4 linked regions of the Elephas maximus indicus genome follow. The protein of the gene in region 2 purifies or fractionates together with the protein of the main gene of each other region. This does not show direct contact. Links are inferred from orthologs where the notes say so. Each region holds a gene or a part of one and is shown on either strand. Other genes may lie near its edges. The genes, in order: PPP6C, AURKA, PPP6R2 and WDR62.

Region 1 (7,614 bases), on a different chromosome or scaffold from region 2:
CTGAGAATCACAGGATCTCTTTGTAGGTTTGATCCAGTACTAGTGATATAACCACTTCCAATTTAGCTAAAGAGAAATCTCAGATCTAGAACATGCTATGCGTTTACTATTTCATTAGTACCTCCAACTTCTAGTCAATCTAAAATTAATACAGGTAAATTTCCATTATTTTCTTTTTTACTAGAACAAATCTTTTCCATTAAGATCATTAAGTGGCCCTCATAACTTCTTTCCCTCCTCTGACAGAATCTTGTATCTTGGCTTTGAAGCCTAAGAAAAGGTGCTCCTGAAATACTTTCTTAGTCAGACTAATTTTGGTTTGCACTTCATGCCAAGAAACAAAAATAAAATCAAATTTCCTTAAATACACCAAGACAAAGATGGAAATCCTCTACTTATATGGAAAAATTAAGGTTCTTTTTCCTCAGTAGTTGCTCAGAAGATTCAAAATTAAAAAAAAAAAAAGTTTATTTATAAACATGCAAGCTAAGTACCAAACCAAAAAAAAAAAAAAAAAAATGAAATTCGTTGCTGTCAATTTTTTTTTTAAAGAAAATGAAATGGCTTACTATTTCCTAAGTGAGAAGAAAAGCTAATGTTTATCAAACTAAGAGGCCTAAAGAAAATCCAACTGATTATTTTTCAAATCATTTTAGTATCCAATTTCAAGTCAATATTAAGACACATTTTCCTAATAAAAGACAACACTTCTTATAGACACAAAGTTTAAAACAGTTCCAGTATGATTAATAAAAAGAAAACAAAATTTCACATCAATTCATTGATATGCAACGATCAACTTCAGCTATGGGATTAACAATACTACCAAAAGAGGTATGGTTAAAAAAAAAAAATTTTTTTTTTTTAGTTTCCCATAAATTGGGTCCCAGTGTTGGTTATATTCTTGTTTCCCAAAAAAGCATATAGCAGAAAGAAGTCACAAAGCTAATATCTGAAGGACTCTGATTAGCATGAAAGCTACACTACTAATATCTGCTTTGTTCTCATTTAAATTAAACAGTCCTATTAAAAAGGGAAAAAATACACAAGAATGACTCCTCTATCATGTTGTTGTTGTTGCCATCGAGCTGGTTTTGACTCATAGTGACCCTATGCACAACAGAACAAAACACTGACTGGTCGTGCAACACTGCCTGGTCCTGCGCCATCCTCACAATCGTTGTTATGCTTAAGTCCCTTGTTGCAGCCACTGTCACTCCATCTCATTGAGGGTCTTCCTCTTTTTTGCTGACCCTCTGTTTTACCAAGTGTGATGTCCTTCTCCAGGGACTGATCCCTCCTGATAACATGTCCAAAGTATGTGAGACATAGTCTTGTCATCCTTGCTTCTAAGGCACATTCTGGTTGTACTTCTTCCAAGACAGATTTCTTCGTGCTTTTGGCGGTCCGTGGTATATGTAGTATTCTTCGCTAACACCACAATTCTATCATATGGCATATATAATTAACATGCCCTGGTGGCCACAGTGGTTAAGAGCTTGACTGCTAACTAAAAGGTAGGCAGTTCGAATCCACCAGCCACTCTTTGGAAACCCTATGGGGCAGTTGTATTCTGTCCTATAGGATTGCTATGAGTCAGAATCAACTCAGACGGCAATGGGTTTGGTTTTCGTAAGTACATTCCCAACAGCACAAGTGACCTTAAACATTTTGCATACTTGTTTGATTGATGTTATGTTAAATATCAATTTTCTGTACCAAGGGAGACAACAGAAGAAAAAGACAGTAATCTCTTCTTTACGATAAAGAATTCAAAAACAGAGATAAATTGCTTTAAACCCATAGCTTAAAGAATAAAAAGAACTCAAACGACCAACAATTTATCTATCCCCTTACCACATAAGAGATCAAAGTTTAGTGAACAAATAAAACAGGTATTAGCACTAACAGGTAAATAACTTCTAGACACCGAAGTATTGGTTTTATTTTAGCAAGCACATAGAAACACTTTTTTAAAAACCAGTACAACAAAGACTTATACTCCTCTACTTTGACATTCATTCCTTTACTCTTACTTACTAGGACTGGGCAGTTAACAAGAACAACTCACCTCCTTTAGAAAACAAAGAAAATGAGATCTTGAGTTAAAAGGAGATTGTGGGCGAATGACTTAAAAGACAGAAAAGCACTTGTATTTACTGAGGTCCTACTACCTCAACTAAGGATAACTCTTAACTTAGCTCAGTAATATACTCATAAACCTAATTCGCATTTGAATTAGTACAACAAAACCAACACTCCTAAACAGCAACTGGAATGGAGGACAACTTGACGTTCCCTCACATCGGTACCAAACCGCTCTGGCCAATCGCCTTCCCACTCTTCAGTAACCTAAACACACCAGGACTGCGTTCCGGGACGCCGGCGGTATCTCCCGTCAAACACCAGTCACCCCGGGCTCCTGTCACCTCTAGTAAAGACGACCCCATCTCGAGAACACTGCCGGCTAGGGCTCGGTTCGGACTCCGGGAAACCCGGGGGTGGAGGTCGGGGGGAACCGTCTTCTAAACAAGGCTGTTAGGGCTCGGAGTCCTGGGGTAGCCCTGGTGCCAGAAGGGGTGACTCTGGGGCAGGAGCCGCGACTTCCCTCGGGATTCCTGCTGAGGGAACCAGGACGGCATTCGAGGGACCTGGGCTCCTGGGCTTTCCGCGTGACGCCAGGTCGAACCGAGCAGCTTTGTACGGCACCGGGCCGTCCACAGCGACGGGACGGGATACCCGGCAGTGTACCGCGGAGGAAGGGCGGGACGGCGGGAGCCCCACTGCCGGAAGGGGCGAGCCCCGCAAGCAGGGCTCCCGCCCTGGCCAGACTCACCTTCAGGTCGTTCTCCGGCAGGTACTTGCACAGTCGCGCTATCTCTACATACTTGTCCAGGTCTAGGGGCGCCATTTTAGAAAAAAGAAGCCGCAAAGGCGGCGGCGGCAGCGGCGACTGTAGCAGCGGCGGCAGCGGCAGAGGCCGAAGCCGGAACTCTTCTACGTCACGTCCGGCCGTGAGAGAGGCGTCTGCGCAGCAACGTTAAAGCTCGACCTGATTCCTCATGCTGCCTGGGCACGGCTCACGCCCTCTCTGGCTGCACGCAGGCTGCAGGACCTTAGAGCCCCCGGCCCGGCGACCGAAAGTGGCCGGGGTTGTAGTTGTCTGCCGCGGGGAATGCTGGGGTTTGTAGTTTGTATTTGTGACCATCTATTCCTCTTTTCTTTCCCGTCTCTCCCTCTAGACTTTCACCTCTGGGTACCCGGCAAGGATTTTCCAATGAAAAACGGCAAAGTAAGCTTCCCTATCCATTTCCTGGTTTCTCATTCCGACCATTCTAAGTACTTGCCTCTCTGTCTTACCAGAACATCTCCAGTTAAAAATTGGGTAAGCTTAGCCATGGTAACCTGTTTGCACCTTTCCGAGGCCTTGTGAAAACCTTGCCTAAACCTGTGGCAGAGATGTCAGGCTCCCAATCTTCCCTTCCTGGAAGAATGGAAAACAAATATTCAAATATTTCTTATGCTAAATGCTTTACAGATGCTGTTATTCCACTGAATCCTCATAATGATTCATAGGAAACAGGAGAGGTTAAGGAACCTTCCCAAAATGGCACAGGGAATACCTGCCAGAGCCGAGATTGAAAAATAGGTCTGCTGGCTTAAACATACTTCAGTGTGAGTCTCAGGAGGGCAGGGACAGATATATACAGAGAGTCACTCATCGCTTAATGTCCACCGTACATTCTGTGGAATAGGACATTATATGATTTAGACATGCAGACACCATTTTATATACTGTCACTCTGTTTTTAAAAACCTTAAAGCCTGGCACTGACTTGGTTTCCTTAAGGATGAAAGCCCATTCAGGCATTTGCTTCCAGAATAAAGAGGTTTTGTCCATAATACAATTTTGCTGGGGCAAATAACCTCCCTGTACTATTAGTTTATCTAAGGTTTCAACAAATTCTTCTGCTGCCTTTGTATCAGCACTCACAGACTCACCATTCACTTTAACACTATGCGGCGAAAACCATTGTCTGAAGCATGTGAACCACCCAGAGCTAGCACTAAACTCAGCATTGTAGTCTGGTCCTGCTTTTTCGTTAAGCATCTCGAACAAACTTTGTACCTTAGCAGTGATCATCAGTGTGCTGGGGGGTTCACTTTTGTGTTTGGTCCTCAATCCATGTCATTAGCAATTTTTCCATATCTGATGTAGATCCCTCTTGCGTTTTCTTTAGCCTTGTAGCTTTCGGTGGAACTGATTCTTTAACAGCTTGAAGAATTTTTTCTATTTGTGAGGATCGTCATGATTGTTGAGAGCAACATGGCTAAATCGTGAGCAAGAGCATTCACTGATTTTCCACCTTAATGTTGTTGTTAAGTAACCTTTTATTTCACTTCCAAATCAATACTTCTCCTTTGCCTCTTACTGCTGCCATTACTAGCACTGGTTTTGTTGCATTTGGGAGCCATGATGCACTGTGTGGTAATATTTTTGAAACAAAATTAAACAGATAACAGTACAACACTCCAGAGATGTGTGATACATGAGATCGGATGCTGCTGCCTACAAGTTGAAGCATACAATGTTATATAATAAAGTTTTTATTGCTAAGTAGGGAAACTTCACATTAAAATGACAATAGGAAGTACAGTACATACATAAGCCATTAACAGGTGTTTACTATGACTATCAAGACATATTGTATGTTATGTATGTACTGTACCATTATACACTTAGCAGAGCAATTGCGTTGTATACAAGAGACATGAGATACATGTGTTATGTACTGGAAGCCATTGCATTCACTACAATGTTCTGTTCTACAATCAGGATTTCTGAACTCTATTATAACCTTATGGGACCGCGGGCATATATATGGTTGAACATTGCCCAAACAGACATTATACGGTTCACGGCTATGTGTATATGTGTGTGTATATAATATATATATGATGCATGACATAGCACATGCTTATATATGTGTGTGTGTGTGTGTGTGTGTGTATATATTTATTTATTTTTTTTTTAATCCCTAGCACCAAGAACAGTAGGGTTGTAGGTGTTTGGGATATTCAGTGAACAAAATAGACAAAGATCCCTACCCTCAACATTTTAGCAGAGGAAAACAGAACATAAACAATAAACATAATAAATAACTATAAAAAAAATGATAAGTACTATAGAGGAGAAACAAACAGGGTAAGGGAGATAGAGTATTGTATTTTTAGAGCCAACAAAGAGATGGGAAGTTAGCCATGCAGCTACTTCGGTGAATTCATAGGAAGAGCTAGTGCAGAAGCCCTAAGACAAGAGTGTATCGAGAGTCTTTGGGAAACAGGAAGTGTGTGCTCGGAGCAAGAGTAGGAGAGAAGATCAGAGGAATGGAGGAAAGGAGAGCATTGATTTTACTTTTAATGGAATGGAAACTATTGCAGGGCTTTGAGCAAAGGAATAACATGATCTAACTTGTTTTTTTAAAGGCTCACTCTGGCTGCTGTATGAAAATGTAGAGAGCAATGGTTACAGCTGAGAGACCAGTTAGAAGACTGTTACATAATACAGTAGTATTCAGTGAGTATTTCTTGTTAAAGTAACCCTGGACTGGATCCTCATGCTCTAAAGTATATTTTTGGTACAATTAGGTAAACTTTAATGAGGTCTCTGCGTGAAGTTCTTTGTATTATTCTTCCAACTGTTCTGTAAATTTGAAGTTGTTTCAAAATAAAATTAATTTTAAAAATAAGTGTTGTTTATAAAGAAAATGTTCTGCATTCTACTTTGGTGAGGAACATCTGGGGTCTTAAAAGCCTGTGAGCAGCCATCTAAGATACTCCACTGGGCTCATCCCTTCGGAGCAAGGGAGAATGAAGAAAACTAAAGACACAGAGAAAGATTAGTCCAAAGGACTAACGGACCACAACTATCATGGCCTCCACCAGCCTGAGCCCAGTACAACTAATGGTGCCCATCTACCACGACTGACTGCTCTGACAGGGATCACAATAGAGGGCCCCAGACAGAGCTGGAGAAAAAATGCAGAACAAATTCTAACTCACAAAAAACGACCAGACTTACTGATCTGAGGGAGACAGGAGAAACCGCAGGAGTGTGGCCCCCGGACAACCTTTTAGCTCAGTAGTGAAGTCGCTCCTGAAGTTCATCCTTCAGCCAAAGATTAAATGGGCCCATAAAACAAAACATTACTAAAGAGGCACACCAGCCCAGGGGCAAGGACTAGAAGGCAGGAGAGGACAGGAAAGCTGGTAATAGGGAACCCAAGGTCAAGAAGGGAGAGTGTTGAGACGTCATGGAGTTGTTAACCAATGTCATAAAACAGTATGTGTACTAACTGTTTAATGAGAAGCTAGTTTGTTCCATAAACCTTCATCTAAAGTTCAAAAAAAAAAAAACTCACTAATTTGGATTAATAGAAATGAAGCTTATACAAGAAATAAATAAATGTTGTTGCAGAATGAATGCTGCCCATAAGCATTCATTTCTTCATTCATAAAACAAATAGTTATATAATGCCCATGATGTGAATAAGACAGCTATGGTCCCTGCCCTTGTGGAGTTTAGAGTTTTCTAGAAGACAAATAATAAGCAAATAAATGAGCAAATATTTCATTGCAAATTATGATTACTGCTAAAAAGGGAAAAAAGGGATATTGCGAGTAAGAAAAATGGAGTAGAAGAGACCGAATTTAGGTTGGCAGTATGGTAGACATAAAGTATACAGACTCTAACACCAAATGGCCTGATTTCAAATCCTGACTCTACCAATTACTGTGTGATTTTGGGCAATGTATTTATCCTCTTTATGCTTTAATTTTCTCAGCTTCAATATAGAGAGGATAATAGTACCAGCCTCTTATGAAGAGACTAGTATTGAGGTTTAGTAGAGTTAATATGTACTTAAAAGTGTTTTGCACAGAGTACAATTTGAGTGTTAGGTCTGAGTATTAGGTGGGAAGGAAGGTCCTTCAGATGAGGTAACATTTAAGACTGAGGAATTTAAGAGAGCTAATATACTAAGAGTTTCTTGGAGAAAAATGTCCCCATTTGGAAATTTTTGTTGCTCCTGTTGTTTGATTTTATTACAGTCCTCTTTGGAGATCTGGCAATTCACTTTTCATCTCTAAACGTCTGGGCAAATAGAGAGATGGATGTGAACATTCTTTATAGACTGTGAAGTGCTTAAAAGGAAAGTGTCACCAGCATCATTGTCTTCCTTTGCTAATGGGTCTGTGAACAGATAGGTAATGAAAGCTGGTGGTATCCCCTTCTAGTGAAAAATAGGTGGCAGTCATCACGTTACCAAACTGGAAGCAAGACGTTCCCTCCTGCTGACCCATCTCACTGAGCAAACCTCATTCCTGACATCCACAATGGAAAGGAAAGAAAAAAGCATCCTCGGGACTGTTGGGTGAGTCCTTGCAAAAAGTGATAGTCACATCTGGTATTGTGGCATGGAGACATTGTGTAGAGCTTGGTGACTAGAATGCATTCTTAGTGTTCCTTGCCCAAAGCTGGGGTTACGGGCTCCTGGTTCTGCCACTTACAAGGCTAAGTCATTTTCCTTTCTCTGGGCTTTGGTTTCCATCACT
Region 2 (7,826 bases):
TGGTGCTATTGCAAAAACCTCCTAACTGGTCTCCTGACCTCCATGCTCAGACTTCTACAACCCACTCACCACATCATTCCTAAAATAATTTTTAAAATAAACTGGGTATACTCTCAAAAAAAAAGAAAAAAAAGAAGATGCCCCTGGACTGCCCAACCCCCTTCGATCATATTCTGTTTTGTGTATCACTGTGGACCTTTTTGTTTCCGTTTATGCAGACAAGACAGTTCTGTAGGGTATAAACCACAGCTTGTTTCACACTATAGATACTTCTCTGAAGTTTGCCTTCTTTAAAGTGATTTCTCTAAGCTGCAGATTCAGTCATTTTACTCTCTGCTAGAAACACATCCCCAGGTACAGTACGTATGTAGTCATGCCGCCCAGATTCCTGTTCTAGGAGGGATTGCTGCAGGGCACAACCTCGTCCACGGTGGTTACCTTCCCTGTGCAGTCCACATCCTAGGATGGGGTGAGGCCAGGTACACAGGCTTGGTTCTCTTGGCCTGACACAGACTCAGGGACAACATTCACTCTAGTGCCCTCCACTGGGGATGCTTTGTTGGGCCTGAGTTGCATTCGATTTATTCCTCTGCCCAATCCTGCGTGCTCCCTTTCCCTGCTTAGGTGCTGATCCCTATTAAACATCTCATACACAAACCCCACCTTGGCGTCTGCTTCCAGAGCTAGGCCTATAACACACTGCCTATCAGATACAGTTTCAACTCCAGCACAGTAACTGAGACAAGACTATGTATTCAGCCACTCTGTTCTATTGCGTTTTCTATAGCCAGGTGGGCGTTAGAATGCCATGTTGAACAGGACAAGGTCCTGACTGTTACTAACTTTAGCGAGGAGGAGGAGAGACGGCTTGTGCAGGAACAACCCAAACAATAAAGAACATTTCACACAGTGATTCCCTTATGAAGGAAAGAGCCAGGTTGGCTGTGGTGGAGTAACTGGGGAGTGTGGGGAAGATCATGGGATTACTTTAGAGGGTGAGGACAACTCTGAGGTGACACGTGAGCCAAGACCTGAAGGAAGTCAGTAATAACACATCAAAGTCCTTCAGGCCCTGAGGCTGGAAGTGGCTTAAAGTGTTCATGATCTGGACTTTGCTTACCCCATTGGTATCCAGCACTAAACCTGGCACGTTTAAAACAAAAACAAAACAAAAAAGAACCCGCTGCCGCCGAGTCGATTCTGACTCACAGCGACCCTCTAGGACAAAGCAGAACTGCCCCATAGGGTTTCCAAGGCTGTAATCTTTATGCAAACAAACTGCCACGTCTTTTTCCCTCAGAGTGGCTGGTGGGTTCGAACTGCTGACCTTTCAGTTAGCAGCTAAGTGCTTTAACTGCTGCGCCACCAGGGCTCCTTACCTGGTCCATAGTAGGCATTAAAACTCAACTATAATCATCTTAAAAACCTCTGATGCCTGAAAACACCCAAAACCTCGTCTCGGAGCTACGCATTCCCTGACAGGCTACCTAGTTTGATGAGATGCAGGAGCTGCTCTGAGGGGGCACACACGGACTGGGGCTTGATTTCGTTGATGAGGCCGTTGGCAATGCTGATGTAGCCATCATACAGCAGCTGGCTGATGATCAGCTTGTAGAGCTGCTGACGGTCCTTCAGGCCCACTTTGGTTCTGTACATCTTGGAGGCGAGGAAGACGGTTTCCCTGCCAGCTGCAAGAAGAGAACACGGGTGGGTGGGGAAGGGCAGAGGCATGAGGAAATCACCGGACGCAACACAGGTCTCTGGGGTCAGCCGTGTGGGGCTGAAATCCAGCTCTAGTGGCCGCATCATCTTTGGTCAGTGACTTCATTTCCCTGAGGCTCGGGTTCCCCAGCTGTTCAGTAAATCACTGAAGGTTAACAAGATGTGCACATAGGGCACTGAGCACAGAAGGCATTTGAGTCATGCCAGCTGAGATCGAGAGTAGCATTTCCCTTCAACTTACCCTCACCCTTTCCTTCTCTGACAAAACTGTTGTTGGGTGCCATCGAGTCAATTCCAACACAGTGACTCCATGTGACAGAGTAGATGTGTCCTATAGGGTTTCTTGGCTGTAATCTTTACAGGGGCACATTGCCAGGTCTTTCCTCCTGCAAAGCTGCTGGTGGGCTTGAACAGCCAACCTCTTGATTAGCAGCCAAGCACCTACAAGCTGCACCACCCGGGCTCATTCTGCCAAAACCACTTGCCTACAATTTTAATCCTTTATTGCTGTCCCAGGAACTTCCATTTCTTCTGTTAACAAAACACTGAGTGGTGTTGAAAATTGTGGACAGGTGCTACTTTCTCGAACGTCTAGGGACTACTGTTTCCACCAGCTGAGCTGTATGTTTACCAAAGTCAGTCATGCTTGTTCCTAAAATCTGTTTTACGGCAACCAATCTTGTTACTGAATTATATAATTACACAATAAATTAAAATATGAGGGCAAAAAGCTATTGTTTTAATGAAAACTAAAACAAGTTGAATGCTCTGGAAAGACAAAACATGAACCACTTAAAAAAAATATTGCCAACTAACATATGGGAAAAATGGGGGAGAGAAAAGAAAAAATCTGGAATGATTGTGCATTCAGATTGATTTCCAAGTGTCTAAGTGCTCCCAAAGTCTTAAAAGACCTGTAGTAGTCCTATTAAAGGAGCACTGGTGGCACAATGGTTTAGCGCTAGGCTGCTAACCAAAGGGTCGGTGGTTCCAACCTGTCAGTCACCAGAAAAGACCTGGTGATTGGATCCTGTAAAGATTACAGCCTAGGAAACTCTATGGGACAGTCCCACTCTGCCCTACAGGGTTGCTATGAGTTGGAATTGACTTGATGGCACAAAGTAACAGTGGACCTAATTAGATAAGACATTGATTATCAAAAATCACAGACCCAACGAACGTGTGGGCAGGTAATCAGAAGGCTGCAGATGCCTGGGAATAGCAATAAAAAAGAAAAGTTGTGGATTTGCAGCCTGAGAGAGAGAAACAGAGACAAGAAAAACCAGAGTGAACGGTAACATCAGGACCTCTTGGTGTTGTTATATTTACTTGGTATTGCTATATTCTGAAAAAGAAGATGTATGCAGGAAAGAGATGGAGAACCACCTGTTCTAACTACATAGCTTCCTCTGGAGAGTCACTGAGGTTACTGATCATAATAACAGCTAACACTAACTGAACGTTTACCATGTTTTATCTCATTTAATCCTCAAAAGCATCCTATAATGGAGGTTTTGTAATCGCCTTGTTTCCAGGTGAAGGAAAATAAGTTACTCAAGTTCTCACAAGTATTGCCTGGAGAAATCAGGGCTGGAACACTGGGGGTGTGTCTTTAGAGCCCGTGTTGTCCCTAAACACAACTTCGTAATGTTCCCTAAAAGCTTAACAACAATAATCCTGGCTAGTATTTATTTGATATTTGTCGTTCTTGTTAGTTGCCATTGAGTCGATTCCAACTATGGCAACTCCATGTGAGTACAATATGCAGGACACATTGTGTAAACAGCTTACATGCATCACCTCATTCACTCCACAGCTAGTCCTACTTAGAGATAAGCAACCTGAGGCCCAAACCAAAATGAAACCCATTGCTGTCAAATTGATTCTGACTCATAGCAACTAGAAGGACAGAGAACTGCCCCATAAGGTTTCCAAGGAGTGGCTGGTGGACTTGAACTGCCGACCGTCTAGTCAACAGCTGAGCTCTTCACCACTGTGCCACCAGGGCTCCAACCTGAGGCCCAGAGAGGTTAACTAACTCAGCCAGGGTCAAACAGCTTGCTAATGGCAGGGCCTGCGTGCTAACCCCACACTATACTGGTGGGTGTTAATAATAACAGGAACATTTACTGAGCATTCCTACATACTGGACACCGTCCTAAGCACTTCAAGAGTATGCAGAAGCAAATCTATGTACATCTATGCTTCTGTAGGCAATACTGAGACACAACGATGAAACGGGGCTCAGAGAGGTTAGGAAACCCACCAAAGTTAAGTGTGGCTGGTTAATCCACCCAGAGCTCAGAACTTAACTATTATTTTAACCCGTATCTTCAGTGTATCATGGGGTGCACAAAGAGCTCAACAAAAGAAAGCAGAGCGAGCTCCCGCTTCCCAACTCCCATTGTACGTTCACTAGCCGGGCTAGCAGGAGTCTACTTACTATCCCCCGTTTGCAGGTGGGGACACTGAGGCCCGGAGACACGAGGAATGCCGGAGTTGGGAGACCCGGGCGAGAACAAACTCTCCTTACTGTACGCGCCACAACCATCCCAAGGCAAAGGCGAACTAAGAACGGGGAGGGGACGGGCGCGACGTCCCCTTTTAGGAAGAGGAGGGGGTGTGCTGGCCCAGCCCGGCAACTCAGAAAACCGAGCTCAGGCTGCAGGCCTCTCCCCTCACTCTTGACCCTCCTGCCTCTCCTCAGTCCTGCCCGCGGGCCCTTGCAGGCCCCAACCGACCGCACAGCCACTCTCCCCGCATCCCGGAACCCCCTTACCCGCTGATCCGGCTCTCGCGGTCCCCGCTCTCTTTTAGAAAAATGGAGGCGCGAATGCTTCCCAATCGATCGCTCGGCGCGCACGTTCTCTGCGCAGGCGCACAAGGCGCCGCGCCGAGCGCTGCGCTATCGATCGGCCCCATTCTCTCGTCTGCCCTCCTCGCCATCTTACTTACTGGCACGTTCCAGAGGCTCGTTCACCTCCCCTGGATTTATTCCTTGTGCGGCAGCCCTGACGCAAGGGAACTGTTGTTTCCCAGAAAAATGCCCGATCCCGGACAGCACCGCGGGCACTAGGACGGCCCCAGGTCTGGCGGGCCGTTGCGCCACCACTTCCGGCACTTTACGGAGCGAGTGCGCCTGCGCGGATCTCAGCCTTGTCATGTGACTCGAGGTCCGGTCCTTTGTTAACCAATCAGAAGGCAGTCTCTCTTCAACGCAAGCCAATCAACTTTCGGGTTAGAGGGTTTAACTCGTATTTAAAAAGAGGAGGCTTTGCTTCCTAACGGCTAAGATCTTGGGCGGATTGGCGGCCACTGGTCGGAGGTGGCAGGTGACCAGTGTGTAGCGGGCAGGGGTGAGGCCTGGGACGAGGGGGGCTCGTCGAAGGCGGCCTCAGGGCGGGTGGCGGGGCTGGAGGCCGAGGGGCCCAGAGGAAGGTTCCGCGAGGGTCGCCCTCCCAGCCTGTCCACAGTGCCCACCTGGGCTCTTCAGGCGCGTTTCCTTCGGCGGGTGGGCACCGAGGCGCCTTGGAAATGCCGCGTGTTGTTTATTCCCGTAGAAGCGGATGGGGGTTGTTGAGTGGTGTTGCGGGTGCTTCTGATGGGATTCTCGTATTCAGTGAGCAGCTGGGTTAAGAAAAATACGGAGGGGTCTCTGCCGTCCTGGAGTTCACCTTCTGTCTGGGTTGAGGAGACAGACGACGAACTAACAAGATAACGTCCAACAGTGGTGGGTGTTCTGAACCAAGTGAAACAGTTACATGGTTTAACGGGGGTTACTTTAGATCTACTCGGCTGCTTAGGAAAGGTTGGCGGCCAAAGAAAGGTTGGCGGTTGGAACCCACCCAGCGGCCCTGCAGGAGAAAGGCCGGCAGTCTGGTTCTGTAAAGATTGCAGCCAAGAAAGCCCTTTGGGACAGTTCTACTCTGTCACATGGGGTTGCTATGAATTGGAATTGGCTAAATGGCACCCAACAACAGCTTTAGATAAAGGGTCCTGAGTGGCGCAAACCTTATGGAGCGGTTCTGCTCTGCTCACATGGGGTCACCATGGGTAGGAATTGACTGGAAGGCCGCTAACAACAACTTTAGGTAGAATAGCCTGGGAAGGGGCTTATCCTGGCTGGATGAGTGAATGGACAAAGAAATGAATGATAACCTTCTGCAGAGGCCTTCCCAGGCCAGCGTTTCTCAAACCTTGGACCACCTATATGAGATTACTGGGGCCCTTGTTAAAAATGTAAGAAGCCCTGGTGGCCCGGTGATTGAGAGCTCGGCTGCTAACTGAAAGCTTGGTGGTTCGAACCCACCAGCCACTCCACGGGAGAAAGATGTGGCAGTCTGCTTCCACAGAGATTACAGCCCAGGAAACCCTATGGGGCAGTTCTGCTCTGTCCTGTAAGGTCACTGGGAGTCTGAATCAACTCGATTGCAACAAGTTTGTTAAAAATGTAGACCCTTGCTGCATACCCAATGAATCAGAATCCCTTGGGAATAGGACCCAGGTGTGTCTACTTTCAGCAAGCTCTCCAGGTGATTCTGATGTTTCAGTGAGAACTAGTGGTCTATACCAGTGCATAGTATCATCTGGGGATGATGTTAACATTTACGATCTGATTTATTTAGTAGCCTGGGGTTGGCCCTGAGAGTCTCCATTTCTAACAAAAGTCAGGCAGTGCAGCTACTGCCCTTGACTTTCAATTCTGCCCCCTCCTTAATGTTCCTTTTTCCTTGACTTAAACACTTTTCAGCAGTGTACTCAGTTCCTTTCCACTCACTTTCATCTTTGTAGACATTCACAGGTCTCCTGTGCTGAGGGAGGAAAAAAATAAGTCCTGACCGTCAACCCAGAGTGCTGTTAAAGCTAACACTTTTCCTAGTTAGAATTGTAGGATCTCATGAAGGTCCTCTTGTCACTGCCTCCTGCATCTGGTTCTAGATCAGAATCACCCGAGGAGCAGTCTCCCTGGGCGAGTCCTCAGAATTTCTGAATCAGAATCTTATCCATTCTGCTTCTTCATCATTCATCTTCATGAGGAGAAAAAGAAAGAATAAATTGGAGCCAATGTCTGTAGCTTTTGTCAGAAGACTGTTGAGTAAATGTCCTGAGGCCTCTGTGATCTCCTTAGTCAGCTACTTGTGATTGTTAGGGAAACTGGAAGCCTCAGAGCATGTCTTAGAAATTAATGTTTGCATAATATAAACATATAAGTCCTGTTACTTTTTTTGTTTATTATTATTTTTTACTTAACCATTTTCTGTAAGAGCCTGGGCTTTTTAGGCCTCTTCATCATGAAGTTTGCATATTTATAAAATGAATATAAAGCTTTGGGATGTGCTTTCTGGTTGCATTATCATATTCACTGAGCAGCTGGGTAAGACAAATATGGAAACGTTTCTGCAGTCTCGATAGGTGATAGTGCCTGACTCACAGTGTGGGCTTACTGTGAACTTTTTGTTGATGTAGAGGCTGTCCCGGGGCTACAAACAGACCCATTCCTGACTGTGTCTTTAAGAATTTGCAGGTAGGTTGGAACAGGTGCATAGGGTTCTCATTTAGCTTTACTTTAGCGCAAGAAAAGACTTGGAGCCCTTTCGGTGAATTCAGAGCTGTGTGTGTGGCAAATGGAGGTGATCGTGATGAATTTGTTGCAGGTCAGGGGCTGGTTCAATTGTTTCACTAAATCTGTTGCTGTCCAGTCAGTTCCGACTCATAGTGACCCCATAGGATAGAGTAGAAGTGCCCCATAGGATTTCCAAGGAGCAGCTGGTGGATCTGAACTGCTGACCTTTTGGTCAGCAGCCTAGCTCTTAACCACTGTGCCACCAGGGCTCCTCATTTGTTTCAAAGCAAGGGCAAGTTTCCCCAACATTGAAGGATAAGTCTGAGTTATCCGTAAGGCGGACGTTGGTAACTGGGGACTTACTGTACTTTGTAAAAAAAACTCATTGAGTGATTTGATGCATACTGTGTGCCAGGTGCTGTTCTAGGTTCCGGGGGTGCAACAGTGAGCAAAGTAGGACTGAGCCCTTGCTGTCACAGAGCTTTCTTTCTAGTGGGGAGAGGTGCACAGTAAATACATATGTAACGTTCGTGTAGAATGC
Region 3 (7,237 bases), on a different chromosome or scaffold from region 2:
GCTCCAAGGGAAGGCTTTCTCTCTCTGTTGGCTCTGGAGGAAGGTCCTTGTCCTCAATCTTCCCATGGTCAAGGAGCTTCTCAGGTGCAGGGACCCCGTGTCCAAAGGACATGCTCTACTCCCAGTGCTGCTTTCTTGGTAGTATGAGGTCCCCAACTCTCTGCTAGCTTCCCTTTCCTCTTATCTCTTTAGAGGTAAAAGGTGGTGCAGACCACACCTCAGGGAAACTCCCTTTACCTTGGATCAGGGAGGTGACGTAGGTAAGGGTGGTGTTACAATCCCACCCTAATCATTTTAACAGAAAATTACAATCACAAAATGGAGGACAACCACACAATACTGGGAATTATGGACTAACCAAGTTGATACACACATTTTTGGGGGGACATAATTTAATCCATGACTTCCTATAAGATAAAAGGTGGTGCAAGCCACAACCCAGGGAAACTCCCTTTACATTGGATCAGTGATGTGACCTCCGTGAGCGTATTACATCCCACCCTTACCCTCTTTAACCTAACCTAATCTCGCCTCATTAACCACAGAAAGAGATTAGGATTTACAACACATAGGAAAATTACATCAATCACAACATGGAGGACAACCACACGATACTGGGAGTCATGGTCTAGCCAAGTTGACATGTATTTTTGGGGGACACAATTCAGTCCGTGACACTCATGTATGATGTTGTTGATGTCATCCCACAACTTGTCTGGGTCTTTGGTCATTAGTGTTCAATGCGTCAAATCTATTCTTGAGATGGTCTCTAAGTTCAGGTGGGATATTCTCAAGGTCGTACTTTGGCTCTCATGGACTTGTTTTAATTTTCTTCAGCTTCAACCTGAATTTGCATCTGTTTTGCAGTGGGCCCCTGGCCTTGTTGTGATTGATGATATTGAGCTTCTCCGCTGTCTCTTTGCACAGATTTAGTCCATGTGATTCCTGTCTATTCCTTCTGGGAAGTCTATGTGTATAATCACCATTTATGTTGTTTAAAAAAGGTATTTGCAATGAATAAGTCGCTGGTCTTGCAAAATTCTATCACGGGATCTCCAGTGTCATTTCCATCACTAAGGTCATATTTTCCAACTACTGATCCTTTTTCCTTGCTTCCACCTTTTGCATTCCAATCACTAGTAATTATCAATGCATCTTGGTTGCGTGTTTGATCAATTAAGACTGCAAAAGTTGATAAAAACCTTCAATTCATCTTTGGCATTAGTTTTTGGTGTATAAATTTGAAAAATAGTCATATTCATTGGTCTGCCTTGTAGGCATATGGATATTATCCTGTGACATGACTGTACTTCAGAATACATCTTGAAATGTTCTTTTTGATGGTGACAGTGATGGCATTGCTCTTCAATTTGTCATTCCCAGCATAGTAGACCAGATGACTGTCTGATTCAAAATGGTCAATCCGTCCATTGTAGCTCACCAATGTTTACATCAATCTTCAGCACTGCATCTCATTTTTAAGGACTTCTAGTTTTCCTTGATTCCTAGTTCATACATTCCACATTCTGACCATTAATGGATATTTGCAGCTGTTTCTTCTCATTTTGAGTTGTGCCACCTCAGCAAATGAATGTCTCAAAAGCTTGACCCCATCCATGTCATTAAGGTGAACTCTGCTTTTGAGGATGGAGCCCTGGCGGCACAGTGCTTATAAGCTCAGGCTGTTAATCAAAAGGTCAGCATTTAGAAATCACCAGCTGCTCCGTGGTAACCCTATAGGGCCATTCTACTCTGTCCTATATGGGTGTGTTGAGTCGGATTTTACCCTATGGCAACAGGTTTGGTTTGTCTTTTCTACTTTCAGGAGGCTACTCCTTCCCAGTCGTATTTTCAGTGTCTTCCAATCTGAGGGGCTTTTCTTCCAGCACTATACCAGACAACGTTCTGCTGCTATCCATAAAGTTTTCACTGGACAAGTTTTTAAGAAGTAGACCACCAGGTCCTTTTTCCTAGTCTGAGTCTGGAAGCTCCACTGAAACCTGTCCACCATGGGTGACCCTGCTAGATTTGAAATACCGGTGGCGTAGCTTCCAGCATCACAGCAACATGCAAGCCACCACAGTGTTATAAACCACCGAAGGGGTTGCCGAGGGAAGATACTGGCCACGGGGTGCTTGCTGCTGGCCACTGTGAACTGCAGGAGCTGGGTGCTGGAGAAGCTGCACACAAGGCACGAGCAAGGCACTGGGGGGGCCATGAATGAGGCTTTAAAGCTTATCATAATGGCAGCTGGCAAAGGAAAACTATTTGAAGGGCTCAGATCCATTCACGGAGCAGGCAATGAGACTGATGAATTTGGAGCAGAGAGGAACTAAATTGGTGACTGGCATAGTGTTTACATATTTGAGTGCTTCTATTTTTCCAGCATTTTTCCATAGTTCATGCTGAAACCTGAAATAACAATTTCAATTTTAGAGATTTGATGTTGTTGTTGGTTGCCCTTGAGTCAGCTCTGACCTGTGGTGACTTCATGCATAACAGAAAGATTTGCGGCCCGGTCCTACAACATCTTCATGATTGTTGGTGCGTTTGAGTCCACTGTTGCGGCTGTCACGTGAATTCATTTCATTGAGAGTTTCCCTCATTTTCGTTGACCTTCTACCTTAGTAAATATAATGTCCTTTTCTAGGTATTGGTCCTTCCTGATGATGTGTTCAAAGTAAGCAAGGTAAAGTCTTGCCATCCTCGCCTCTAAAGAGAATTCTGGTTGTATATCTTCTAAAACTGAAGCCTAGTGTGACTGAATTTAACAATTCCAACACATGTCAAATGGGCAGTCAAGCATTCTGTGGAGCACCTGGAAAAAATGCACCAGGTGACTGCCTGCTCAGGTGCCCCCAGTCCAGTTAGGAGACAGCATGTAAAGACGGATCTCTGCATGAGGCATGAGGGGACAGACTGCCATTCATTCCTGCTCTGGCTGTGGGGACACCAGGTGCACATGGCATTCAGGAGACACCCAGCTGCCCCGGTGAGGTTGGTTTTCAGCCAGAGAAGCTCCCCCAGAGTATAAACCAAAACGAAACCCACTGCTATTGAGTCGATTCCAACTCATAGCAACCCTACAGAACACAGTAGAACTGCCCCAAAGAGTTTCCAGGGAGCACCTGGTGGATGTGAACTGCTGACCTTGTGGTTAGCAGCCAGAGCGCTTAGCCACTATACCACCAGGGTTCGACCCCCCCCCACCCCATCAAGGTATAGGAGAACAGTGACCTTCCTGGAACACATTAGGCAACCCCCTCCCCCAAGTCTGTTTTGAAGGGTAGTGCAGATGCCCCTGGGTGGAGTGAAGAATGGCTGAAATGAAGTTGATGGGCGATTTGGAGAAGTCCAGGGATTCACACTCAGCAGCCAATATCTAGGTGGGAGGTCAGACCTTCCCCGGGCAAGTAAGAGAAACTTCCCCAGGGTATTAACCAAAACCAAACCCACTGCCATGGAGCTGATTCTGACTCATGGCGACCCTACTACAGGACAGAGTAGAACTGCCCCATAGGGTTTCCAAGGAGCACCTGGTGGATTCGAAATACCAACCTTTTGGTTAGCAGCCGTAGCTCTTAACCACTACGCCACCGGGGGTTTCCATAGTATCTCACAGCAAGAATTAATTATGCTTCTATAACAAAATGTAGCCAATGCTTCAGGGAGCAAGGTAAGAGCAAGAAGCTGCACCCCAACCCACCGTGCTCCGACGCCGCGGACACGGATGTCGTTGCACGAGAGAGCTGGGCGGGCTGCGTTTTACCCCCGTCGCGGACACCCTTCCGAGGCCGGCATTCCGACACACCCAAGCCTTCGTGCTCCTGCCCAGGCTTGCGCTGTACCTCATTTAGCGCCCCTCGGAAAGCTTCTGGAGCGGTCGGGCGCCGGGCGTGCGGAGGAGGCTTCCCGGGTGCAGCGAAGCCCCCTCCCGCCCGCGGGCCTCGGGGGTGCGCTCGGGCCCCGCCCACTGCGCCGGCGTGGCGTCCGAGGCCCCGCCCTCAGCCCCGCCCTCAGCCCCGCCCCGACCGCGCTTGTCTCCGCCCTCAGGCCCCGTCCCACGACTTCGAGCGCGCGCGTCTCCTCCCGCGGGCCCCGCCCCGACTGCGCAACGCCCGCAGGCCCCGCCCCTCAGTCCCGCCCCGCCCTCAGCCCCTCCCCTGCCGCGCGCGTCTCCGCCCGCAGGCCCCGCCCCCGGCGCGAGCGCGCCCAGCGCCGCCGCCGCCGTTGCCGCCATTTTGGAGCGACCGAGCGCCGCCCGCGGCCCAAGCCGGTTCCGAGGCGGTCCCGAGCCGCTGGCCGGCCGCGCCGTGTCCGTAGGCGCCCCGCCCGGCCGGGCCCATGCGCGTGCAGCCCGCCCGAGGTCGCCCGGGCTTCGCCTCCGCCAGCGCCCTGGCCTCCCCCAGGCCTCTGAGGAGCCGCCGAGACGCCCGACTCGGCGGAGCCGGTGAGTGCGCCCGCCCGCGCGGCTTCCTCAGACCCGGCCCGCGGGCCGGCGGGGGGCGGGGCTCCGGGTCGGCGTCCCCACCCGCTGTCAGGCCCCGTCGGTGCGTCAGTGTCGCTCTCCGTCAGTGTCCCACGTCATTCCCCCGCCTGCCAGTGCCCCCCGCGTCAGTCAGCGCCCCCGTGTCTGCTCCTCCTACCTGCCGGTGCCCCCCCGTCAGTGCCCCCCGCCTGCCAGTGCCCCCCGCGTCAGTCAGCACCCCCGTGTCTGCTCCTGCTACCTGCCAGTGCCCCCCGCCTGCCAGTGCCCCCACCTGCCAGTGCCCCCCGCCTGCCAGTGCCCCCCGCGTCAGTCAGCACCCCCGTGTCTGCTCCTGCTACCTGCCAGTGCCCCCCATGTCGGTGCCCCCACGTCATTCCCCCGCCTGCCAGTGCCCCCACCTGCCAGTGCCCCCTGCGTCAGTCAGCGCCCCCGTGTCTGCTCCTACCTGCCGGTGCCCCCCATGTCAGTGCCCCCACGTCATTCCCCCGCCTGCCAGTGCCCCCCGCCTGCCAGTGCCCCCCGCCTGCCAGTGCCCCCCGCGTCAGCCAGTGCCCCCACGTCTGCTCCTCCTACCTGCCAGTGCCCCCCGCCTGTCAGTGCCCCCACGTCATTCCCCCGCCTGCCAGTGCCCCCCGCGTCAGTCAGCGCCCCCGTGTCTGCTCTTCCTACCTGCCAGTGCCCCCACCTGCCAGTGCCCCCCGCGTCAGCCAGTGCCCCCCGCGTCAGTCAGTGCCCCCATGTCTGCTCCTCCTACCTGCCAGTGCCCCCCGCCTGCCAGTGCCCCCCGCGTCAGCACCCCCGTGTCTGCTCCTGCTACCTGCCAGTGCCCCCCATGTCAGTGCCCCCACGTCATTCCCCCACCTGCCAGTGCCCCCTGCGTCAGCCAGTGCCCCCCGCGTCAGCCAGTGCCCCCATGTCTGCTCCTCCTACCTGCCAGTGCCCCCCGCCTGTCAGTGCCCCCACATCAGTCCCCCGCCTGCCAGTGCCCCCACCTGCCAGTGCCCCCCGCGTCAGCCAATGCCCCCATGTCTGCTCCTCCTACCTGCCGGTGCCCCCCATGTCAGTGCCCCCACGTCATTCCCCCACCTGCCAGTGCCCCCCGTGTCAGCCAGTGCCCCCACGTCTGCTCCTCCTACCTGCCAGTGCCCCCCGCCTGCCAGTGCCCCCGCCTGCCAGTGCCCCCACCTGCCAGTGCCCCCCGTGTCAGCCAGTGCCCCCACGTCTGCTCCTCCTACCTGCCAGTGCCCCCCGCCTGCCAGTGCCCACTGCCTGCCAGTGCCCACCACATCAGTCAGTGCCCCCCACATCAGTCAGTGCCCCCGTGTCTGTTCCTCCTACCTGCCAGTGCCCCACGTCAGTGCCCCCTGCGTCAGTGCCCCCGTGTCTGCTCCTCCTACCTGCCAGTGCCCCCCGCCTGCCAGTGCCCCCCGCGTCAGTGCCTCCCGTGTCAGTGCCCCCGTGTCTGCTTCTCCTACCTGCCAGTGCCTCCCGTGTCAGTGCCCCCACGTCTGCTCCTCCTACCTGCCAGTGCCCCCCACCTGCCAGTGCCCCCCGCCTGCCAGTGCCTCCCGTGTCAGTGCCCCCGTGTCTGCTTCTCCTACCTGCCAGTGCCCCCCGCCTGCCAGTGCCTCCCGCGTCAGTGCCCCCATGTCTGCTTCTCCTACCTGCCAGTGCCCCCCCGTCAGCACCCCCCATGACAGTGCCCCCATGTCTGCTCCTCCTACCTGCCAGTGCCCCCCGCCTGCCAGTGCCCCCCGCATCAGTGCCTCCCGCGTCAGTGCCCCCATGTCTGCTTCTCCTACCTGCCAGTGACCCCCGCGTCAGTGCCCCTGGCGTCAGTGCCCCCATGTCTGCTCCTCCTACCTGCCAGTGACACCCGCGTCAGTGTCCCCAGCGTCAGTGCCCCCACATCCATTTTTCCTGCCACTGCCCCCCACGTTAGTGCCCCCACGTCCATTCCTATGTGCCAGTGCCCCCCATGTCAGTGCCCCCACGTCATTCCCCCGCCTAGCAGTGCCCCCCACATCAGTGCCCCCACATCCATTCCTTGTACCTGCCAGTGCCTACCACATCAGTGCCCCCACATCCATTCCTTCTACCTGCTAGTGCCCCCCATGTCAGTGCCCCCATGTCATTCCCCTGTCTGCCAGTGCCCCCCACATCAGTGCTCCCACATTCTTTCCTTCTACCTGCCAGTGCCCCCCATGTCAGTGCCCCCACGTCATTCCTGTCTGCCAGTGCCCCCCACATCAGTGCCCCCACGTCCATTCCTTCTACCTGCCAGTGTCCCCATGTCCAGGCCTCCCGCCTGTCAGCGTCCTACACTTCAGTGCTCCCCACCTGTCAGTGCCCATCCACGTCCACGCTTCCCCCACGTCAGTGCTTCCGCATTGGTGCCCCCACATCATTGTCCCCCACAACATCTGTACCCCCTGCCTGTCCCTGCCTCCCCACGTCAGTGCCCCCCCCACGTCAGTGCCACCCGACCTCAGTGCTTTCTGCCTGTCAGTGTTCTCCACATCGGTGCCCTCTGCCTGTGCTCCCGCGTCATTGCCCCCATGTCTCTGCCTCCTGCCTCTCACTTCCCCCACCTCAGTGCCTCCTGCCTGTCAGGGCCCCCCACATTAGTGCCTCCATATCTGGGCCCCCCACCTGTCAGTGCCGCCCCACATCAGTGCCCCCATATCTGCGCCCCCCTTCTGTCAGTGCCCACCACATCAGTGTCCCCTGCCCTGTCAGTGCCTTCCA
Region 4 (7,643 bases), on a different chromosome or scaffold from region 2:
ACTCTAAGGGGGATGATTTAGGGACAGACTGACCAGTGCCCATCTTGTTTATGGATCTTATCCCTTCTAATTAGTCAGCCAAGGGAAGGATGTGTTTGAGAGGCCCTGGCTATACAGAGGCGCAAAACTCAGTTACCCTGATAATCTCAGGTGGCGAAATTCAAGTACCACACCTTCCAGAGCCAATATTTGCAAGGAGTGTATCTTGCTCCAACTAAGTTGATATCTTATGTGAGACTCAGTATCTAAAATTAGAAAGAATGTTTCAGTACACTCCTCAGAAGAGAGAGAAAACCATCCTGCACCCAGAGGGTCCTGGATTTAAGCCAGTTGAGTCTCCCTAGCTAGCACACCAGACAAACGGCGGTGGCGGGGGCGGCGGGCGAGGGGGATGCAGGACACAAAACAATATTCCTCATCCAGATCCTGACCAAAAACATGCAGGGGTCGAGACAAAAGACCCAAAGGAGGCCTGTGCTCTCGTGTGGTGAGGACTCAGCCCCAGGACAAAACGACAGTCTCCCCAAGTGTCCTCCGGGTGTGGGGGTCAAGGGCTGTGCCCTCATGCAGGTGGGGACTCAGCCCCAGGACACAGGGAGAACACCACAAGGCCTAATAACACCCGTTACTGAGGACACAATCCACCACTTAGTAGCTACTCCAAAATGAAACTTAAAAATAGGTACCTGTTTCACAGTGCTGTCGGAATGTTTCTGTTCTCCAACAGGGGACTCATGGGTTGTCCAGTCCGGGGTTGGTGCCGCCCAGAAAGTCTTCCCCGCCCAGTGAAGGGTGGAGGGTGCCCTTCGGAGGAGGTTTCAGGACCTAACTTACCCTGAGCTGGAGTCTCCACTGAGTCCCATCTGGGGTGCCATATGAAACTGTCAACTAATAGATTCTTGTCAAGCAGACCAGCGAACTGAAGTCAGCCAGGCACAGGGCTGGAAGAACAGAAGGGTTTATTCACAGTTTGCGAACTGGGAGGCAGGCATGGTCTCGTGACCCAAGGCTGCCAGCTCCCTGAACCAGGACAGATCTGCTCCTTTTATAGGGAGTTACATACATATGCATGAACAGTGAGAGGAGGACCTTCAGTCTTGTGATGCGCACAATCCGCATAACTTTAGTGAATGGGTTTTTGCATGTAGCTCTAAAAATACTGCACACAGCCCTAAAAAAAAAATGGTGACGGCTCACTACTGCCACCCCTGGAAGGTGATACAGGAGGTAGATTGGGAGTTAGTGTGCCTACACCTCTGCCTCCTGCTAGCAGAAAAGAAGAAACCTGGGGAATCAACCAATCATGGTGAAATGCTGTAAAAGTTGTAAGAAAAATGCAGCGAAAGTAGACTTTTCTGAAAAACAACTATTATGAGATGGTTAATAACCCTTAATAACCCTTTCATGACTGCCCACTTCAATTTCACATAGAGTGGTTGTCAATGGTCACAGAAGGCCTCGCTGAGGTGATAGAAAAGTAAGAACTTTTCATGCAGAGGGAACAGCATACGCAAATGCCCTGGGGCAGTGACGTGCCTGCCATTCTAGGGAATGGTTGGGGCACAGTGAGGGGCAGAAGAGGGGAGAAGATGAGGTCACACCGGTATTGGGGAACCTGCTCCTGCAGGGCTTTGTGGGCCTGCTTTCTGCCTGTTCCAGCCTTATCTTTTTGTCTTTTATGGAGTGAGATGGGAGCTGTGGAAGGGTTCTGAGATAAGGAGGGTCCTCACCTGACTCAGGTGTTAACACAGGTCCCCTGGCTGCCTGTGGGGAACAGGCTGTGGAAAGCAGGGAGACCAGTGAGGAGGCTACTAAAATAGCCCAGTTACAGGTGCTAATGACCAAAACCAAGGTTGGGGCAGAGGAGGAGGTTAGAAATGGTCAAATTTTGGGTTGATTTTAAAGGTAGAGCCAACACGATTTCCTTATGGACTGAATGAGAAAAATGTGCCCTAGCCCAAACAGCCTTAGACCACAAATATAAACCCACAGTCCCACAAAGTCAGCTTTATTTACCACGGCGATGAGGGAGACTGCACACCAAACAAAGGAAACGAGAGAGTCATTGGCTTTGAGAGCAGGGTGACGCATAAATGAAGCGGTATCTGAACAGGTTTGGAGTAAAGCAGGATTGTGTGTGAAGGGACCAACGTCAGGTCTGGATTGAGAAGGGGGCCCAGGGCCCTGTCTCCCTGGGGGCAGTAAAGGCAGATGTGGACTACTGTGTCCAGAAACCCCCTATCTGAAGCTCTGAACCTAGACTGTAAATAGAGACTGCTTCTCTTTGTCTAAGTGACTTAGACCCTCCAGGTAAAAGTGAGATGTTTTATTTTTACGGATATAATTTCAAACAGCAAAGTTTGTAATAGTCCATGATTTTAGAGAACAAAATTTCTCAGCGAGTAATAAAGCAGTGGAGCCCTGGTGGTGCAGTGGTTAAGACCTCAGCTGCTAACCAAAAGGTTGGCAGTTTGAATTCACCAGCCGCTCCTTGGAGACCCTATGGGGCAGTTCTACTTTGTCCTACAGGGTCGCTATGAGTTGGAATGGACTTGATGACAACAGCTTTAGTTTCTGGTTTTGGAATAAAGCAGTAGTCACTCAGAGAAAGGGAGCTGTGTCATTTACAGAGGCAGCATGTCCCTGGAAGAAATATTTTTTCCTATTAATTTCGTCACTGGCTTTTTCCGTGTCTGTTATTCCAACCCAATAAATGGGAGGGCAATTTTTTTTTTTTTAATAGCCCATGCTAATTTTTCATCCTTAAGTGTTTCAAGTCCTCTTCACTTTCAGCAAGCAAGGTTGTGGCATCTGCTTATCGCAAGTTGTTAGGAAGTCTTTCTCCAATCCTGATGCCCCATTCTTCTTGGACCCACGATCAACACCCATGGAAGCAGCAGTCAAGAAATCAAATGACGCACTGCATTGGGCAAATCTGCTGCAAAAGACCTCTTTAAAGTGTTAAAAAGCAAAGATGTCACCTTGAAGACTAAGGTGTGCCTGATCCATGCCATGGTGTTTTCAATCGCCTCACATACATGCGAAAGTTGGACAATGAATAAGGAAGACCAAAGAAGAACTGACACCTCTGGATTACGGTGCTGGTGAAGAATATTGCATATACCACGAATTGCCAAAAGAACGAACAAATCTGCCTTGGAAGAAATACAGCCAGAATGCTTCTTAGATGCAAGGATGGCTAGACTACCTCTCACATACTTTGGACATGTTATCAGGAGAGATCAGTCCCTGGAGAACGACAACCTGCTTGGTAAATTAGAGGGCCATCGAAAAACTAGAAGACCCTCAATGAGATGGACTGACATAGTGAGTGCAACAGCGGGCTCAAACCTAATGATTGTGAGGATGGCTCAGGACTGGGCAGTGTTTCATTCTGTTGTACATCGGGTCCCTATGAGTCGAAACCCACTCGAGGGCACCTAACAACAACACACTAACTTTTATTTTTTCAAACGTGAGAAAAGACAAACGTTAAGATGACTCCAGTCTGCGTGGCTGAAAGGATGGAGTAAGCTATTAACTGTGATAGGGAAAGCTATGGAAGGGTTGGGGAGACAAGGTCAGGAGCTCAGTTTTAAGTGTGAGACACTTCGAACTCATCGCGATGGCGAGTGGACAGTTCCATAGAAGAGCCGGGACCAACCTCTCATTTCCCTACATGCCTTACCGCCCTTTGCCTTCGCTCGCTCCATTCACTACCTAGTTTATCGTCTACTCCTGCTTATCCCGCATCTGCACCTCGGCACGTGCGGTCCTCGCCGCCGGGAACAGCGTCTCTCCACCTTGCTAAGCCCTACTCCCGGATGACACTCTCGAGGGGGACCCGGTGGCCCGCCTCGTCCCCGCAAGGCCCGCCCCGCGCTGGCGCTCACCCGCGGAAGCTCGCATGGCTCGCGGCGCCGGAGCAGTTCGGAGCCCGGCAGCACCGGGGCAGGGCGATGCAGCGTCGCGGCGTTTAGCCGGGTCGGCAGCCCGGAACCCGCCCGCTCGCGCGCCTCTCGCCTGCCTCACGTGACGGCCCGCGCGTCCTGTCAGCGCAGGAGCAGGGAAGGCGACGCCTGCGTGCTACGCGCCCCGACGCGTCGCCACGGCTACGTCCTCGTCGCGTCGCGAACGGGGAAAACCACGCACGTCTCCGTAAAGCCGGCTTCCGGTGTCGTCACGGCGTTTCTGAGCTTGCGCCAACCGAGTGGCTTGGCCGCCAATCTCTTCCGGCTCCACCCTGCGCCTACTTCCGGTGGCTGACAAAGGCGCGGTTAGTCAACCTGGGTGGCCGTGAAAAGCGAGGTGAGGCGGTCATAGCCTTACCTCGTAAAGTGAAACATGTATGGCCAGTGAATGAGACAAACGCAGACTGGATGAAAAGCACCAGCACGTTCGATCAGAGCAACAAGTAGGCTCGAACTCAGGTCCTTCCTATCAAAGGCGGTACCCTTAGCTGAGGCTCCCCCGCGCTGGGGACTCCGCCCCGCCTCCTAGCCCTCATTGGTCACAAGTGCCGCCCGGCAGCCCTGCGATTGGCCAGACCGGCGGCCCGCCGCGTCCAATAGGCGGCGGCGCCGGATTTCCCGCGCCCTTCGCCGTTCGAGTGGGTCTTGCCGGCAGTGGAGGTTGATGCGCGTAACGGTCGCCCGACCCCGCTGCGACGATGGCGGCCTTGGGCCCCGGAGGCTACGCGCGGAACGACGCGGTCGAGAAACTGTCGTCTGTCACCGCGGGGGTTCCGGCGAGGAGAGGCCAGCCCTCCCCGCCCCCCGCCCCACCGCTCTGCCTCCGGCGGCGGACACGACTCACGGCGGCGCCGGAGGACACGGTGCAGAGCCGGGTGAGAAACTACTTGCCCTACCCATCCCGGTTGCCGGCTTCCCTGGGCCGCCCCTGGTCCCGCCCCTGGTCCCGCCCTCAGCCGTTGGGCCCCGCCCACCAGCCCGGGCTCTTCCCCTCCGGCTGCTCCCTGGCCCCGCCCTCCCTAAGCCCCGCCTCCCCAGGCGAGGCCCCGCCCGCCTTGCTGTCTCCTCCCCCCGGGTCCTGCCCATCATTCCTAGCCCCACCTCTCAGCCCCTGATCCCACCCCCAGCCCTTGGGACGTTGTTGGCTTCCTGCCTGGTGCCGCCTCGCGTGCCTTCTGGGTTCTGACAATGGCCTCCTAGAGTAGGCTTCCCCAGCCTCCCTTAAGCTCACTCAATCACCTTTAGACGTTTCCTCTTGCACTTTTGTGGGCCCCGCCCCGCTGAGTCTTCGGGGTCTCTAACAGGGTTCAGGGAACGCTGGTGGCGCAGTGGTTCAGGGTCAGGCTGCTAACCAAAAGGTCAGCAGTTCGAATCCACCAGGCGCTCCTTAGAAGCCCTATGGGGCCGTTCTTTTCTGTCCTACAGCGTCGCTAGGAGTCGGAATTGACTCAACGGCAGCTGGTTTTTTGCCATGGTTCAGAGTCCCTGGGTGGTGCAACCTGATAATTGCCCGGCTGCTGACCAGAAGGTCAGAGGTTGGAGGTTAAGCCAGGGGGATAGCCTTCTGGAATATCGGGCATTGAAAACGCTGTGGAGCACAGTTCTGTCCTGACACAGTGAGGCTCTCATGAATCAGAATCCACTCCGGGGCGAGAAATGGTCCTTTTTTTTTTTTTTAAAGTAGGATTCAGCCAGAATCCTACCAATCCTAATTCTTTCTCAGCTCTGTTCAGCCTTCTCTCACTCCCTGCTTCTTCCTTCCTTTTCTTTACCAAGGTGGGATTCTTATTCCATATTGCCGCTCAAAACTATGAGGAAAATGTGAGTAATATTTGTAAAACCTCAGCAGTACTGGCTCCAGAGGGAGGGAGTACAGCAAAGTGGTTCCTTAAGTCGGGTAGTAAGTAGGAGTTCCTTTAGTGTGGCATCAGTTTTTAAAATTATCTTCCAACTCCTCTAGCTACAAAGTGTTTTTGTAAAATGGTGGTAATAAAAACCGTACCTTGGTGTGGTAGGGAGAGGAAGTGAAACGAGGACTGTGACCTGCTTAGCACAGTGCATGGCATCGGATAAAGGGTGGATCAAAACAACACACAACAGCTGCTGTGCAGTCAGTTCCAACTCGTGGAGACCCCATTTGTTTCGGAGTAGAACTGTGCTCCGTAGTGTGGCTGTGACCTTTCGGCGGCAGATTGCCAGGCCTTTCTTCCAAGGCGCCTCTGGGTGGGTTGGAACTTCCAACCTTCGGTTAATAGTTGAGCACTTAACTGCTTGTGTCCCCAGGGACTTGGTGGTAGCCGTTGGTGAGTCTCATTCCTTCTCAGTGGCTTCCTGCTGCACTCTGAATGTATCCCCTATTCCTGCCTGCAAAGCCAGGGCAAGTGGCCCCCTGCACACCTCTCTGGTTGCAGCTTCCCTGGCCTCCCTCACCAAGGTCCAGCCACACTGCCAGTCTTCTTTCTGCCTCCCTGAGGCTCCACGCTCTTTTCTGACTCGTAGCCTTTGTGTTTGGTCCGTCCTCTGCCTGGGCTTTTTGCTGCAGCATACCTGGCTGCCTCCTTCTCATTCCTCAAGTGTCAGCCTGTGGAGCTGTACTGTCTGGGTTTGTGTCCTCACCTCGCCACTCCCAGGTGTGGGACCCTGGGCCTCAGTGTTCTCATCTGTAAAATGGAGGTGATAATACTACCTTCTTCCTTGGATTGTTGTGGAGGCTTAAGTCTTTCATCCATATGAAAGTAGTTAGGTACTTATTCCATCCATATGAAAGTATTAGGTACTACCCTGAGAGGCCTTCCTGAACCCCAGTCTGAGCAGACACCCCCCTTAATCTCTCATCCTTCACCCTGCTCTTCATAGCCCTTAGCTTATCAGTTCCTGGAAGTGCCTTGAGAGCGCCTAAGCTGCATGTGACTGTAGGGGAGCAGCAGCAACGACTTCCGAGAGGCGGGCTAGCAGAGCGGGTGAGAGTGCAAGCCCTGGACTCGGACGCCTGGGCTGAGGATCTAATCCTGCGCTTTCTGTCAAGTTAGGAACTTTTCTGCGCCTCCATTCCTGCATTTGTAACATGGGGATAATAAGATGACTGCACTCTCTCAGGGCATTTGCAGGGATTAAAAGAGCTGTTCCATCTTAAGCACTTAGAACAGAGCCCGGCACATTGCAGGTACTGTTATTGTCAGCTTCTACCGTTACGTCCTTGTGTGTGTTGAGTAACAGATGCCGTTTATCTTTCTTGTTTGGCAGCACAGAATCCCTCTGGTTTGTAAAAGATTTAGTCCAAAATGACAGTCCGTCCAGTAATGCTGACTGACAGAGAAAACCATGAGAGTGCTGTTGCCCGGCTGAATGGGTGACTGGGCTGAAGTTACTCACTGGGCCTCTGTTTCAGATGGGGATGGTCTAATGATAGTGACTGGATCACAGGATTATTATGTTTGTTGAATTAATACAGTTATGGTATTCGAGCAGTGTCTGACTGCTGGTAAGTGCTCAGTATATGCTAGCTATTGTTATCCTAGGAGCCCTGGAAGCTCAGTGGTTGAGAGCTTGGCTGTAACCAAAAGGTCAGCAGTTCAAATCCACCAGCCACTCCTTGGAAGTCCTATGGGGCAGTTCTACTCTGTCCTGTAGGGCCACTATGAGTCAGAACCAACTTGACAGCAATGGGTTTTT

Evidence for each region.
Region 1: the proteins of AURKA (region 2) and PPP6C purify together in Homo sapiens (affinity purification with mass spectrometry; 4 studies listed by BioGRID and IntAct, with this or other methods). This does not show direct contact. The link is inferred for Elephas maximus indicus from reciprocal best matches to the Homo sapiens genes AURKA and PPP6C.
Region 3: the proteins of AURKA (region 2) and PPP6R2 purify together in Homo sapiens (affinity purification with mass spectrometry; 4 studies listed by BioGRID and IntAct, counting the BioPlex papers as one, with this or other methods). This does not show direct contact. The link is inferred for Elephas maximus indicus from reciprocal best matches to the Homo sapiens genes AURKA and PPP6R2.
Region 4: the proteins of AURKA (region 2) and WDR62 purify together in Homo sapiens (affinity purification with mass spectrometry; 3 studies listed by BioGRID and IntAct, counting the BioPlex papers as one, with this or other methods). This does not show direct contact. The link is inferred for Elephas maximus indicus from reciprocal best matches to the Homo sapiens genes AURKA and WDR62.

The regions. Positions count from the first base shown.
Region 1 is NC_064827.1:76,190,058-76,197,671, forward strand, and holds the start of PPP6C (serine/threonine-protein phosphatase 6 catalytic subunit), read right to left. Parts: upstream 3,009-7,614; 5' UTR 2,912-3,008; coding exon 2,837-2,911; intron 1-2,836.
Region 2 is NC_064843.1:13,200,748-13,208,573, forward strand, and holds the start of AURKA (aurora kinase A), read left to right. Parts: upstream 1-4,817; 5' UTR 4,818-4,895; intron 4,896-4,958; exon of another isoform or gene 4,959-5,078; intron 5,079-5,342; exon of another isoform or gene 5,343-5,452; intron 5,453-7,222; exon of another isoform or gene 7,223-7,246; intron 7,247-7,826. Other genes in the region: CSTF1 (cleavage stimulation factor subunit 1), read right to left, coding at 1,488-1,656. UniProt on the Homo sapiens protein: Mitotic serine/threonine kinase that contributes to the regulation of cell cycle progression.
Region 3 is NC_064822.1:196,686,378-196,693,614, forward strand, and holds the start of PPP6R2 (serine/threonine-protein phosphatase 6 regulatory subunit 2), read left to right. Parts: upstream 1-4,276; 5' UTR 4,277-4,323; coding exon of another isoform or gene 4,324-6,169; intron 6,170-6,220; coding exon of another isoform or gene 6,221-6,384; intron 6,385-6,727; coding exon of another isoform or gene 6,728-7,012; intron 7,013-7,237. Other genes in the region: basic proline-rich protein-like, read left to right, coding at 3,731-4,276, 4,324-6,169, 6,221-6,384, 6,728-7,012. UniProt on the Homo sapiens protein: Regulatory subunit of protein phosphatase 6 (PP6). May function as a scaffolding PP6 subunit. Involved in the PP6-mediated dephosphorylation of NFKBIE opposing its degradation in response to TNF-alpha.
Region 4 is NC_064829.1:115,160,628-115,168,270, forward strand, and holds the start of WDR62 (WD repeat-containing protein 62), read left to right. Parts: upstream 1-4,637; 5' UTR 4,638-4,669; coding exon 4,670-4,846; intron 4,847-7,643. UniProt on the Homo sapiens protein: Required for cerebral cortical development. Plays a role in neuronal proliferation and migration.